2 linked regions of the Elephas maximus indicus genome follow. The protein of the gene in region 2 interacts with the protein of the main gene of each other region in a biochemical or structural test. Links are inferred from orthologs where the notes say so. Each region holds a gene or a part of one and is shown on either strand. Other genes may lie near its edges.

The links. The genes of interacting proteins can lie anywhere in the genome.
Region 1: the proteins of RNF181 (region 2) and ITGA2B form a complex in vitro, tested with the Homo sapiens proteins (2 studies listed by BioGRID). The link is inferred for Elephas maximus indicus from reciprocal best matches to the Homo sapiens genes RNF181 and ITGA2B.

What each region holds. Positions count from the first base shown.
Region 1 is NC_064837.1:50,889,945-50,897,433, reverse strand, and holds the start of ITGA2B (integrin alpha-IIb), read left to right. Parts: upstream 1-4,418; 5' UTR 4,419-4,428; coding exon 4,429-4,616; intron 4,617-6,254; coding exon 6,255-6,376; intron 6,377-6,467; coding exon 6,468-6,565; intron 6,566-6,688; coding exon 6,689-6,854; intron 6,855-7,134; coding exon 7,135-7,184; intron 7,185-7,260; coding exon 7,261-7,306; intron 7,307-7,411; coding exon 7,412-7,489. UniProt on the Homo sapiens protein: Integrin alpha-IIb/beta-3 is a receptor for fibronectin, fibrinogen, plasminogen, prothrombin, thrombospondin and vitronectin. It recognizes the sequence R-G-D in a wide array of ligands.
Region 2 is NC_064835.1:49,004,552-49,011,554, reverse strand, and holds RNF181 (E3 ubiquitin-protein ligase RNF181), read left to right. Parts: upstream 1-4,029; 5' UTR 4,030-4,057; coding exon 4,058-4,143; intron 4,144-4,739; coding exon 4,740-4,870; intron 4,871-5,016; coding exon 5,017-5,126; intron 5,127-5,283; coding exon 5,284-5,358; intron 5,359-5,587; coding exon 5,588-5,647; 3' UTR 5,648-6,352; downstream 6,353-7,003. Other genes in the region: VAMP5 (vesicle-associated membrane protein 5), read left to right, coding at 13-150, 592-801; TMEM150A (transmembrane protein 150A), read right to left, coding at 6,874-7,003.

The DNA.
Region 1 (7,489 bases), on a different chromosome or scaffold from region 2:
CTGTTAAGTGCTCATCATCTGACTCAGAAGCATTATTTTTTGGATGACTAGCATTAGAAAAAATGAAATGGTCTGTTTCAAGTGACAGGACTCATTTTTCTTTGTTTTCAGCCCATGTAAATATTTAAATAATACAGTATTAACATTTCCGTGCTGCTTCCCTTCAGCTTGTAGATCGAGCCATGTTCTGGCCTCTCTGCCTTCCTGGAGGCAGTTTTCTTTAACTTCCAGAATAGTGGTTTTAAAACTTAAAAAAAAGAAGGAAAAACAAAATGACCTTACTTACAAGCGTAACAGACTGTATTTAACTTTATCACATATGATAGAGATATATATGCTGTAAAATGAGGGAAAGAACTTTCTAATAAACCAATGATTTGTGGAAACTTAGCAGAGTCTGTCGTGATCGTTCCCTGTTCACTCAAGTTGGGAAAAGATGGAGTTGTGGATTGTAAGTAACATCCTGTTTAAAGTGACCAAGCAGTAGACTCTTGTGAACCAGTTGTTTGTGATATTTGAAACTGTGCCTCTCAAAGCTTGGACTGCCCACTTCAAAGGCAAAAGATGGCTGTGGGCAGAAGTAATAGGAGTTGTGTTTCTCTCAGTGTTAGGTAAGTGTCTCTTTCTGCTCCCTCTTTCCCCGTAAGAACTTCTGTTTCTTCCCTTTTTCTTAAATATATAATCTATGTATGGCATGTAGGTGCTCATTAAATGGATTTGGAATTTCTGGCTTTGATTTTTAGGATTTTGGATGGACTTAAGGCCAGTGGGATTACAAGATTGATCTACCTAGTCTTTGCCCTCCAGGTGGAGTTCTGTATACCAGGCTTGGCTTCCTCTCCTCAGCCCTTTAATGTCACTGCAGTCAATACTTGAGAGCCTCTGCTTAGTATAAGGAAATACATCCCAACTGTTACTGAGCCGATAAAAGCTCCTACTTTTCTGTATCAAAAATCACAAGAGGCAGGGAAGTTTAGCGTGGAAAACTAACCACAGATTTGTCGTAATAGTTTCCCCTCTCCTTAACCTTTCAGGAAAGAAGACTGGTGTTCATTTCTTTCCTAGTGTCTTTGATAAAGCTATGCTCTGTCCACCAAGGAGAAGCTCTTAAAACCCTGGGTTGGGTGCTCAGATCTGACTGTTTCCTAAAATGGCAAAGATCCCTGCCCAGAAGGAATGGATGTTAGAAAATATAAAAAGTGAGTTTCTGAGAGCGGGCAAGCGTCCTTGTTCTGATAAGGGTTCCACTTCCCTCCCAGCCACCTGAGCTTGAATCGTGAAATTACTCCATCTTCTGTACCCCCCATGACTAATTCAGGCGTAGTCAACCACTTCCGTTCTTATTTGCAAGAGATACTCTTATTAACTCATGTTGGAATTACTGCAGCATCTTCCGGGCTGGCCTCCCTGACTCTAGGAACTAATAGCCTGCCCCATGTAAGTTTACTCGCTTTTTAGAATCTGAGTTCAATTAATTTTGTATTCACTGCTTCTGGTAAAATTGTAAACTCTGAGAGGACAGAAACTGATTGTTACACTTCCTTTTTCTTATCCCTTAGGATGTCTTACGTAGAATTGAGCACATGTAAACATTTTGATTGTATGTTCAAGAAGACAGGAGTAAAGTAAGATACCACAAACCATGGATCATGCACGAGGATTCAGTAAGGGAACATTTGAAGATAAGAGATTTTTCTCGAGCCTCCACATCACCTGGCTCAGAGCCAGGCACATAGAAGCTCAGTAATTTGTTGACTAAAATAAAACCTTAGTAGAATTCAAATTCAGTGAGGGATTCTTGGACTCAGTCTGATGGGATGAGAAAGTGGGACCAACGTGTCAGCACTTCTCTGCCAACTATCAGAAGGGAGATCAACCCAGCTCTGACTCCATAAAAATACCCGTAAGAACTAAACAACTCTCCCTACCCAAATCTGATCACCGTCTGTATTTTCAACTCTAGTTAATGATGCCACTGTCTGGCCAGACACCAAAGCTAGTAGCTACCTTGGATCCCTCCCTACACATCCAGTTACTGATTCTGTCATCACTTTTGTTCCTGCCATTAGTACTCGGGCTCAGACCTCATCACCTTTAACCCAGAGGATTGCAGTCACTGTCCATCTGGTCTTCCCACTAAATCCTTTTCTTGCCATAGGCAGCCAGTTTAATCTTCCAGATCAAAGCACAATTGATCAATGTATCCCATCCCCTGGCTTTAAAAATCTTAGTGATTTTCCATCTCGTATGGGTTAAAGTTCATTTTCCTTAATATGGCATTGAAGAACCTCCAGTGGTTTGATCCCAGCTTTCCGTCTCACCCTCGTGCAAATTCACCCCTTTGAGCACCCTATGCTGAGTTAACTAGTACTTGCTTTTCCCTATAAGTGGCTTTTGTTGTTCTGCTGTTCTTTTATGTTATTCCTCTGCGTAGAAACTCCTTCATTCTCAGACAAAAGGCAACGTAGTATAATGGTTAAGAACATGGACTCAAGTGCAAACTTGTGTTTGAATCCTAGTTAGTGGCACCTATTAGCTGTGTAACTTGGGCAATTTACCTAAAACTATGCACAGTTACGTGTGTTCATGTCTTAACTCCCTCTGCACTAAGTTTTTTAAGGATCTTTGATAATGATCTCTGTATCACTCAGTGCCTTGAACAGAACAAGTACTTATTGAAAGTTGTAGTGGACTATGAATTAATAAGGAGCTCTGGTAGCACAATGTTCAAGCTCTCTACTGCTAACCAAAATGTTGGCAGCTCAAACCCACCAGCCGCTCTGCAGGAAAAAAGACCTGGCAATCTGCTCCCATAAAAATTACAGTCTATGAGGCAGTTCTACTCTGTCCTATAGGTTCACTATGAGTCAGAATTGACTAGACCACACACAACAGCAACGTGAGTTAATAGCAGCTCAGTTGAGGACAGTTGGGAGGGTGAGTAGAGGACTGGGTTAAGGATTCATTCTAACAAATGTATTGCAGGCCTGCCAGGAGCTTGGCACTGGAAGTCAGCAGTGAAGAAAGCCCAGATTAAAGTTGAAGGAGCGTTTAACCTAGCTAGGGATAGGATTTTGAGCTGTGTGCTGAGATGGTGAAGTATGAGGGGAGCTGAAAGGATTCCAGAATGGCACAGGGTAGTTGGGCAGTTTGATCAGAAGGCAAGTATGGATGAAGAGAAGAATGTGGCTATGTTGCCTTTACATCTAGACTTCTTGAATCTCCTTGAGAACAGCTTTTTTGGGAAGGCATGCAGTGCCAGTTAGACTTAGCACTCCTGTCCTCTTCCCCGTATCCACAGAAGATGACCTTGCCTTTTTGCTCAAAACTCTTTCTTCTTTTCCCACTGTGTGACCCTGTGTTTGCATCTTTATCTTTTTGTGCATATTTCTGCTCAGTCTTTCTTTTAGTCATGCATACTACATATTAGGCCCTGGGACTGCAGAAAGGAACCATGCTTTGAATTCACAGACAAAATCCAGTGAACAGACCATGATTATATAGTGTGGTCAGTGTTAGCTCTGGGTGCCAGCCCGAGGAGTTGGAGGAAACTTCCCCCAGGCGATGATCCCAGCAAAATCAAGTCTTAATGGTTAGACAAGAACTTTGTCACCCAAAAAGGAGCGAGAGCCTGCCTTCAACTGAATAGCTTGTACATAATCTCAGAGCCTGTGAACCAGAATGCCCTGGAATAATTTCAAATTGTACCCATTTCCTTGTCCCTTAGGCCAAGGTCCATTCACTGTCCCCCCTCCCAACACTGGCTGCACTGCTCTGGCAGCACTGAGACTTGGCCCAACATGGACAAGGAGTGAGGAAGCTGCTGCCTCAGTATGGCTGGCTGAGGCTGTCCAAAGCCCTAGAAGGAAGAAGTGATTAAGTACCTTATCCAAAAGGATACAGCAGCCTGAGGTCTTATCAGGAGGCAGCAGCTTCCTTCTTCCCCCACTTTTGGCCAAGTCAATGCGCCATAGCAGCGCAGCCAGCTTGCGGGGGGTGGGGGGCAGGGCGAGGCCAGGCGGGAAGGTTGTAGAACTGTGGGCTATAGTGGAGGCGTACAGACCAGTTAATTCATGATTGTACTATCCCAATAAAAAGTAATGGTGACTTGCACTAGAGTGGTGGTAGTGGAGATGGAGAGAAGATTCAAGAGAAATAATTGAGAGGTAGAACCACCAGGAGTTGGTGATAAACTGTTCCCAGGGAAAGAGAGGAGTCATTCCTCTCAGCCCTAAGCCTCACCCCTTTCCTGGCAATCCTGGAGAACACATGGATGTGTGCAGGGGCTGTATAGCCCTTTGCTCTATCCACTGCTCAGCAAGTTGCTTTGGGCCCCAGCTTGATAAGAAATGACTTCCTGTGGTGGAAACTGAAGGAAAGAGGAAGAAGCTGGCCCATTTCTGCCTAGGAGATTGTGGGAGAAGGAAGATGGCCAGAGCTTTGTGTCCACTGCATGCCCTCTGGCTCCTGGGGTGGGCACAGCTGCTCTTAGGACCCGATGGTACCCCTCCAACCTGGGCCTTGAACCTGGACCTGATGCGGCTCACTGTCTACACAGGCCCCAATGGTAGCCACTTTGGGTTTTCACTGGACTTCTACAAGGACAGCAAAGGAAGGTGAGCCTTGTGGGAAGTTTGGGGGTTGGGAGAGAGAAGGAACCCCAACCTGTCACTGCTTCTGTGAGCCCATTTCTGATGGAGGTTGAGCAAGACGATTTATAGGGTCTATAGGGTCTCTATGGTCGGAACCCACTGAACAGCACTGGGTTTTGGTTTGTGGCTCAGGCTGAAGTCTGGTTAGAAATAGTGGGCAGGGACCAGCTCAGGTGAGAGTGTCAGGGAGAGGACACCAGGGAGGAGATAGGCACTAAAACTACAGCAAGAACAAAGGGAAGACAAAAGTTGATTTATTTTTTTTCTCAAGGGTCAGTTGTAAGACCCACTCCACTTTCCTCCCCTCAAAATACAGAGAGGTGCACGTCTTAAGTTGACTTGCAAAACTGTAAAATAGTCTGCTCCCACCTTGCAATTCTACTCCATTTCCCTTACCAAATATGCATATTTGAAAAGAAGCAATAGAGCATTAATGGTTGGGATTGATTAGGCCATGAAATCAGACTGCCGAATTCCCCCCTATTAATAGCTGTGTTACCCTAAGCTACCTAGGTAGTGTGGTGGACACTGTGATGTCCAGCTTCAGGAAGTAGCAAGGGCAGACAGGCTTCAAATGTCAGCCCTTTGTGAGATTTCCTCTGCTGAAAAGAACCACCTTGCCCAAAGTCAAAACCTTTCCCAAGGTGGCCCACTTCCACTGACTGACAACTCGTGTGTGTGTGTGTGTGTGTGTGTGTGTGTGTGTGTGAGATAAGGGTCTGACTGTGATAATTTTGAAGGGTCTTTCTAGCTCCACGGCATGGAGGGGAGGGAAGGAGAGTTGGCCCAAGTCTTTCTTTGGACCTGCGTATGAGTTCCACTTCTGCCCACTCCTTTCACCTCCTTTCTACAGGTATTGGTTTCATGGGTACTTCGGAAAAAAAAACCCTGAATGCGTTTTAAAAAAAAAAAAAGCATTTTGTATATTGAGCATTACTATGTATTTGGTTGGTACCATGCCAAATGTCCCTCACACATTTACTCCTCATGACAACAGTGATTGGCTGGTATTGTCCTCATTTTACATAGGAAAGGTTAAATGACTTTGGACAAAGACAGTAAATGGCAGAGCTGTGATTTGAACCTAGATCTGCTAGGGTTCTCAGCTCTATCAGCAACCTTCCCCCACCCCCGCCCCCCACCCCCAGGCGCCCTCTGGCTTTCTTCATTCTTCACCATTAAAATCAATTCTCAGAAAGGGATCTGGTAAGGAATAGTCTTCAAACGAACATTGTAGGGAGCATCTGAACCCCTGGCTTTTGGTGGGACGGAAAGGGAGAGGGGATGGAGGTAGTGTGCAGAGCTTGGGAGGTCTTTTTCATGAGGAATAGCAAAACCCTCGTGTCCAAATCAAACCAAATGGTTATAGTGCCAGCTTTAACCTCAGTTCGCTGTATTGCTTTAGGAAAGTGATTTCCTCCCAGAGTCAGTTTCACTGTCCATAAGGTGAAGATGCTGGCCTCGACGGTCTGTGAGGTCTTGTTGAGGAAAGCTGGTCCAGGCCCCCACGGCACACCGTCCTCTGGGCAGTGCTTCCAGCGTGGGCACTGGGCATGGGCCACGCGGGAATGCGTGCAGCGCTCACCCAGCTCTCCTTCGCAGCGTGGCCATCGTGGTGGGCGCCCCTCGGGCCTTGGGTCCTAGACGAGAGGAAACTGGCGGTGTGTTCCTGTGCCCCTGGAAGGCCGAGGGTGGCCAGTGCACCTCGCTGTCCTTCCACCTCAGTGAGTCCGGAGCCAGGAGGGACGGAGGAGGGGCCAGAGGGGGCGTGGACAGCCGGGCTTCAGCGCCCCCACACCTTCTTCTGTTCTCCAGCGGATGACAACCAAAACGTAGGCTACCAAACCCTCCAAACCTTCAAGGCCGGGCAAGGACTGGGCGCGTCGGTCGTCAGCTGGAGAGACAACGTTGTGGTGTGGCCGCGGGATAGGGGATAGGGAGCAGGCGGGGCCGGGGATACGTCTGGTGGGAGGAGTGAGGTGGGGCCTCAGTCCCAGCCCCGCGCCCTTCCTTACTCCTCTGTGGCCCTGCCCCAGGCCTGTGCTCCCTGGCAGCATTGGAATGTGCTAGAAAAGACCGAGGAGGCCGAGAAGACGCCTGTAGGTAGCTGCTGGGTGGCTCATCTCCAGAGCGGCAGCCGGGCGGAGTACTCGCCCTGCCGGGCCCGCACCATGAGCAAGATTTACGAACAAAATCGTTTTAGTAAGCTCCGCCCCTGCTTTGGCCCCGCCCACTAGCTGCCCAGCGCTCTAACAAAATCGGGTCGCTTTGAGTCGGAATCGACCCGACGGTTTTTTTTCTTTAGTCTAGTCCCTCCCCCAGCGCGCCAAAACTCTGCTTTCAGTCTGGTTTTGCCCTTTCAAGGTCACGCCTCTATATTACTCCTGGCCCCGCCCCATGGCCCCGCCCCCGCCGGGCCCAGGCTCGGATCCACGCTTCTCGATCCGCCCCTTCACTGACCCCACCTCCTTGCGCCCTCTAGTGCTGGACAGACGCTACTGCGAAGTGGGCTTCAGCTCAGTGGTCACCCAGGCGAGTACCGAGCGTGAGAGGCGTGGGGGCGGCCCAGGAACAGGGCACCCTCTCACCTCCAGGGCTTCCCTTTTAGGCTGGGGAGCTGGTGCTTGGGGCCCCCGGTGGCTATTATTTCTTAGGTATGTCCCTCATCCCATCTGTACATCTCCCGCCTTTCTCCCAGCTTCCCCACCTAAGGGAGACCCCAGACATCTGGGCCCCCACACCCTCCCCCTCCGTCTTAGGGCTCCTGGTCCGGGCTCCAGTCGCCAATATCGTCTCGAGTTACAGTCCGGGCACCCTCTTGCGGTCCGTGCCCAGCC
Region 2 (7,003 bases):
CTTGGTGCCCAGGCAGGGAAAGAGTTGGAGCGATGCCAGCGGCAGGCTGATGAGGTGACGGAAATCATGCTCAACAACTTCGGCAAGGTCCTGGAGCGTGATGGGAAGCTGGCAGAACTGGAGCAGCGTTCCGACCAACTGCTGGACATGGTGCGAGGCCTGGGGAGGCAGACAGGGGAGAGGGGCAGGCTTGGAGGAGCCGTTCAGTGGAGCTCTCAGGCTGTGTACTGAGTCTCTAGGCCTTTGGGAGGGGGGGTCTGAGGTCTGCTTGAGGGTCAGTGTGGGGTTTCCTGCATGTGATGGGTAGACCCCAGGAAGTTAAAAGTCCTTAGCTTACAGCTGTGTGCCTTCCTAAAGGTCGAGGACTGGCACTGCTAACTGGAGGTGAGCCAGTGGGGCTGCAAGTCAAGGGCTACACTGTGTCAGGAAGTCAGGCTGGGAGGCCCTGGCAGGCTGTGTGGAGGGAGGGAGAAGACATGTTGAGGAGCATGCAGGAGACTAGGCCTTGCTGGGGCCGGGGGTGGGCTTGGGGGGAGCTGGCTCTGTCTCTGGGGGAACCACTCACTCCCACCGTGTCTGGGGTCTCCACAGAGCTCTGCCTTCAGCAAGACGACCAAGACCCTGGCCCAGAAGAAGCGCTGGGAGAACGTCCGTTGCCGAATTTACCTGGGGTTGGCGGTGGGTGGCAGCCTGCTTGTCATCCTGATTGTGCTGTTGGCCATTTTTCTCCCCCAGAATAGTCAAGGCAGCAGTGCCCCACAGGCCCAGGGCGCGGGCACAGCCTCAGGGCCGGGGGACTGACCTGGCTGGGCCTTTGGGACAGGCTGAACAGCCACACTAGCCAGTTCCGGTCTCCTGAGAACCCTGGTGTTCATTCCCATCTGAGCCACCCCAGTGATCTTCAGAGGACAGTCCCCATGTGTGCACCTCCACGCCTCCCATCACGCCACAGACTGGCTCTTGAGAGCAGCCTGCTGCACTGGCCGTGCCAGGCCAGCCCTGCCTGGATCTCAATAAAAGCTGCTGTTTGCCTAAAAGCTGGTTTGTGTGTGTCTCTGAGGGTCCTCGGGTGGTTCATCCGCACCCTGCCCCACCCCTGGGGCTGCTTACAAATTCCACCACTGCTAGGTCTCCACCCTGGGAGGTGGCTTTTTCCTCTCCCTTTTCTCCTTTGTCAGACACTACACAGACACGCCTTTCTGGGCTTCAGGTACACAGCACACAGCAACCCCAGACCAGACCCTGGAACCAGTCCTCCTGTTTCCCTGAGAATGGAATCTATTTTTTTCTGGCATCTTGAGAATGCTCAGAAGACCAATGCGACTCCAGATGGGGTGACAAAAAAGAAAATACTTTAAGGATTTTAACAGCATGAGGCCCTCTCTCACATTCATATTCACTTTTTGCCCTGTGAACACCTTCCCCCTCCCCAGTTTCTCCACCCATCTTCTTCCTCAAGATTCTACCAAATTACCCATGAGGCAGTTGGCAGTGAAAACAGGAAGGGCTTCTAAGGTCCTTTAATGCAGGGTCACAAAGGGTAACCTGGAGTTTGCCTTGTAGGAAAGAAGTCAAGCTTTTCAAAGCTCCAGGGGTCACACAAGGATCACTGGGTACAATAAGCCATGGAAGAAGGAAAGAGGCCCCACTAGGATTGTGGGAACAGGCAGTCTCTGCCTGGGCTGCTTAACTTCAGCTCATAATTGTGGATGAGGAGGGGAATTCCAGGTCATGTGTGTAACACAAGCAGTTTTTTCTAGATAGAATGAGGCTTCTGACAGAAAAAAATGACAACCTCTAGGAGTTGTCTGAAGCTTTACTCTTTTTTTTTTTAAAAAAAAAATTTTTTTTTTTTTTTTACTCCTTACAGATCTTTGTTACTTTCACTGGGCTCCTTACTCTTTCCTTTTATGGGAAAGGAGGTCCCTGGGTGATGCAAACAGTTTGCACTGTACTATTAACCTAAAGGTTGGTGATTTAAACCAGGGCTTCAAACAGTTTCATTCTGGTTCAAACCCCTGCTGAGAATTTGCAAAGTTGTATGTAAGAATCACCTGGGGATCTTGTTAAAGTGTAGATAGTGATTCAGTATATTTGGGATGGAAATGCAAATGTTGCCCCAGCTAAAAAAAAAAAAAAGAAGCCTTGGTTTAAACCTACCCAGCAGTGTTGTGGAAGAAAAGATTGATGATCTACTTCCGTAAAGATTATAGCCAAGAAAACCTCATGGAGCATCTACTGTGTAACATAAGGAGTGGAATCGATGGCAATTTTTTTTTTTTTTTTTAAGTTTTGGTTTTTATGGGAAAGATGGAGAAAAGCAAGAGGCTCTGTAGCTAGTCAGCATTCCACTTACAGGCTGTGTGAATTTGGACAAGACTTGTTTTTGCATATGTAAAAAGGAGATGATGATACTTTGCTCCTAGGACTGTTCTTAGGATTATTAATGCTAGGTGTAAAAAGGCATCCATCAACGTAACAGCTCTAGATGCTATCATCCAAGTCATTTAATGCAGCTCTTCTCAACCCTGCCTCATGTTAGAATCACCTGCAGAACTTGTAAAAATACCAGCACACAGGCCCCACCCTAAGCCAGAAACCAAATCAAACCTGCGCTGTGCAGCCGATTCTGACTCATAGCCACCCTGTAGGACAGAGTAGAACTGCCCCATAGGGTTTCCAAAGAGCGGCTGGTGGATTCGACCTGCTGACCTTTTGGTTAGCAGCCGAGCTCTTAACCACTGCGCCACCAGGGCACCAGCCTAAACCCCAGTCCCAGTGCTGTCGAGTCAATTCCGACTCATATCGCACCCTGGATCAGTTAAATCAGAATCTTTAAGGGGTAGGTATCAGACATGGATTTTCCCCCAAAAGCTCCTTTCTCCCCCTACTCCAGGATTCAGGTGTAGCTGGGATGCAAACCACTTATTTAGTTCAAGCCACTAGGTGCTATTTTTATTTTTTCATTGTGGTGAAATATATATAGCATCATTTCAGCCATTTTTAGATGTACAATTCAGTGTCGTTCATTACATTCGCCATGCTGTGCAACAATCACCACTATCCGCTTCCAAATTCGTCATCACTTTAACAAAAACTCTGTACCTCTTAACCGTTACCCCCCATTTTTCCTTACCACCTGTCCTTGGTAACCACTAATAAACTTTGGTCACTAGGCATTTGCCTATTCAAGCCGCTAGTTTTACAGACTGGGAAGCAGAAGCTAGGGTCTAGGGGAGAGGTTGAGCAAAGGGCTGAATGAACGTCACACCAATAGTCCAATGAGCAGATGAGGCCCGGGATCTCCCGGCAGGGATCTTCCCTCCCTCCGTTAGGAGGTTTGCCCCATCCTCTATCGATGTGACTAAACCAAAAACCAAACCCAGTGCCGTCGAGTCGATTCCGACTCATAGCGACCGTATAGGACAGAGTAGAACTGTCCCGTCCCGTAGAGTTTCCAAAGAGCACCTGGCGGATTCGAACTGCTGACCCCTTGGTTAGCAGCCGTTGTGAATAACACATAAGAAATCTGCAAGAAATTTTTGTTTTTAGGGGGGTGAGGGAGGAATCAAGTGTAAACTCCTGAACCATCCAGAAAGCAGCGCAGCGCGGGGGCGAGGGCGAGGGCAGGGCAGCAGTCCTGGCTCTCACCTAGATCGCAGATTTGAATCTTAGGGTCAGGGCTCCAGCATCTGCATTGCCGGGGTCCTCTGAGCCTCAGGGCTGACTGAGGACCCTTACAGCCTAGACAATTGGCTTTTCAAAGCGCTACGGCCATGACCAGAAGCAGACATCTACTCTTCATTCCGACTCCAAAACAGAAGTTTTCTGGTCAGTCCCAGCCCCTCCAACGGCTTTAGTCTTTGGTCACCTGACTTACTCGAGCCAATAAGAGGCAGCCAAATTAATACTTCCGCCGTCTGTTCCGTTAACAAGCCATTGTGTCCGCCCTCCGGATGCTCTGATTGGCCATTCTCTTTCAACTCGCCAGTTTATTGGCCGGTGCCGAGACGTCGCCGTCCAGCAGGGGTCCGGGGGCTGTGTCAGCGTGGCAGTCATGGCATCCTATTTCGATGAGCACGACTGCGAGCCTTTGGATCCCGAGCAGGAGGCCCGAACCAACATGCTGCTGGAGCTCGCAAGGTGGGTGCGCACGGCTGGGAGGTCGGCGCTCGGGCGTGAGGACCCAGGTACAGGATTCTGGGCTAGGGTTGCCTGGAGAAGGCGGATTCTCTGGGCCAGCCAGTTCTGGGCAGGGACGGGATAAATTATCTGGAGTGTCGTCCGGGCGGCGAGATCCGGGATAATTTGGATCGGCAGGGCGGGCCTGGGCAAGGGGATTCTGTCTGGGGAAGACTGGGGCGCGGTGGGAGTAGAGGGCAGCCGGGTCTAGGATGGACCCGAGAAGGCGGGTCTTGAGGGGCGGGGTAGGGCCCGGTGGATGTGAGTAGGTGTACTTGTTAGAAACATGAACCCCGGAAGCCGGCACTGCAGTCTTGGAGTCTGGGTCTACCAGGTCATTGCTGCGTAGCCTTGAGTAACTTCTCTGAATCTGTTGCCTCATGTGTAAAATGGGAACAAAATCGCAGCTGTAAACCATTTTCCACCGTGCACCTCCTATGGGGTAGCTATGACGACTACTAGCTGGGCAGGGTATTTATAATGAATATCCAGTGGATTATGGGGCAAGGAGGAAGTATGCTTTTCTTGTTTTGATCTAGCGTCCTCTGCCTCCTCAGGTCGCTTTTCAATAGGATGGACTTTGAAGACTTGGGGTTGGTAGTAGATTGGGATCACCACCTGCCTCCACCTGCTGCCAAGGCTGTGGTCGAGAGCCTCCCCAGGACAGCCATCAGGGGGTCTCAGGCTGGTGAGGACATACTCCCTAAGCTGTTGGGGCCCTCCCAGAGCTGACTGCTCTGCTTCTTCAGTTTCCCAGGCCAGGTGTGCCTTTCTGGAGTGGGGGCTGGGGGTGGGGCCCACAGCAGCTCTCCTGATCAGCACTCCCTCTCAAAGACCTCAAGTGCCCCGTGTGTCTTTTGGAATTTGAGGAGGAGGAGACGGCCATTGAGATGCCTTGCCATCACCTCTTTCATTCCAACTGCATTCTGCCCTGGCTAAGCAAGGTACTGCTTCCCCTCTCCCAGCCCTCACTCCACCCTGGGCCCGGTTCTCAGGTCCTGTTTATGAACTGTTGGGTGACCAAAGGAGTGGGGTGGTAAGTGGGATCAGGGGAGGAATCTTGGCCAGACCCAGGCTGGAACACTGCCCTGCTTTTCCCAGACAAATTCCTGCCCCCTTTGCCGCCATGAGCTGCCCACCGATGACGACACTTATGAAGAGCACAGACGAGATAAGGTAGGGGCTGGTGCTAAGTGGAGCGGGTCCCAGTAGACTCCTTTTGCCCCCATGGCTGCCTCCTTCCACACCTCAGCAGGCCTGTGTAGGCCCTCAGAATCCCTGGCTCTGGCCTTGGTGAAGGGTGAGCACTTCAGCAATGCAGATGCCAATGGCCTTCAGTTGCCCTATTCCCTCACTTACAGGCCTTCAGGGATGGCCCCTGCCCATTGTGCCCTCTTTCCCTCAGGCTCGAAAGGAGCAGCAGAAGCACCGACTCGAGAACCTCCATGGAGCCATGTACACATGAGGCAGTTGTGGTTGAGCACCAGCCCTCCCAACGTCTTCCTCTTGAACCTTGAATCCTCATTAAAGCTCTCTTTACCCACCCTTCGGCTGCATTGCTCACAGGCCTGGGAGTGTGCTCTGCCCCATCAAGTCCTACTGCTACTGGGGAAGGTGTTCCTGAACCACAGGAGGCTCCAGGCTTTGTTTCCCTCCCTCCCAAGCCTGCTGGCCCATCTGGACTCAGGGCAGTAAAGAACCTGGCTACTGGACCAACCAGGGCTTTGGCCTGTGTGTTCATGGTTGGAAGGAAAAATGGGTCAGAAACTGGCACCAGTAGCTACTGAAAAGCTGGTAAAGAAAAACCAGCTTATACCCCCTCCCCTCTGGCAATTTTTAGTTAACCTTGGAATCCCAGGAACTTTGTGTAGCTTTTCACATTTTAAGGCTGCTCCTTCAACACATTCCCCCACCCTCCACCCCAGAATCAAAGTTCAAACCACACTCCGAGATGGGGAAGGGAACTGTGAATAAGATTATCAGACCAGGTCAGTTCTTCAGACTGCAAGCCCTTGAGAGGAATTTTTTTGCACCTGGCTGCCCTGCTCAAAGAGCTCAAAGAGCAGAGGGCACTCAGGACTCTCCCTGGGTGGGGCTTCCTCCTGTCCACTGTCTTGTCTAAGGAAAGCCCTGCTGGATCAGGCCCTCTCTGATTCTCCAGAACAGACTATACATATGCAAATTAGAATTCTTTTAATAGATATAAAAAAAGTACTAAAATACCCACATGGTTCTGCTGTGTTATTCACTCTAAAGGAAGTGAGGGGCAGAGTGAAGAATCCCGGTGTGTCTCAGTGGGCCCGGAAGTGGGCCTTCCCAGACTAAGCCACGCACAGCCCCCCTGCCCCCCACCAGCTATCTATCCCTCTCACCTTTCCCAGCCCCAAATTCCTGCAGCAGGGAACCCCAGTGGTCTGGCTTCAGAACTGGGGAGTAGAAGGCACCTGAAGGGCTGGCTGGGCGAGTGAAGATAGGTGATCTTAGAACACAAACCATCCGCAGTGGGAGAGCAGCAGTTGGGCAGCCGGCAGGGCTGCTCCTCTCTGGCACAGATGGATGTGGGATGGCCACTCCAGGAGTGAGGAAGCCCGCAACCCAACGTAATACTTGAAAGCGTTTTTGGTACAAATTAAATGCAAAGAAGGTGGGGTTGGAAGCCGTGGGGGCTGGGCCAGCCACCCTCCCCAGATCTCAGATCATGGCGATGCTCTCGGGGGCACAGTTGAGGTGTGTGGAGGTGCTACTGCTTCCTGAGGGCTTGCAGGCCCGGCCAGGGTTAGGCTGCAGTGCGGCCACCAGTGTGTCTGAGGAGATGGCCCCA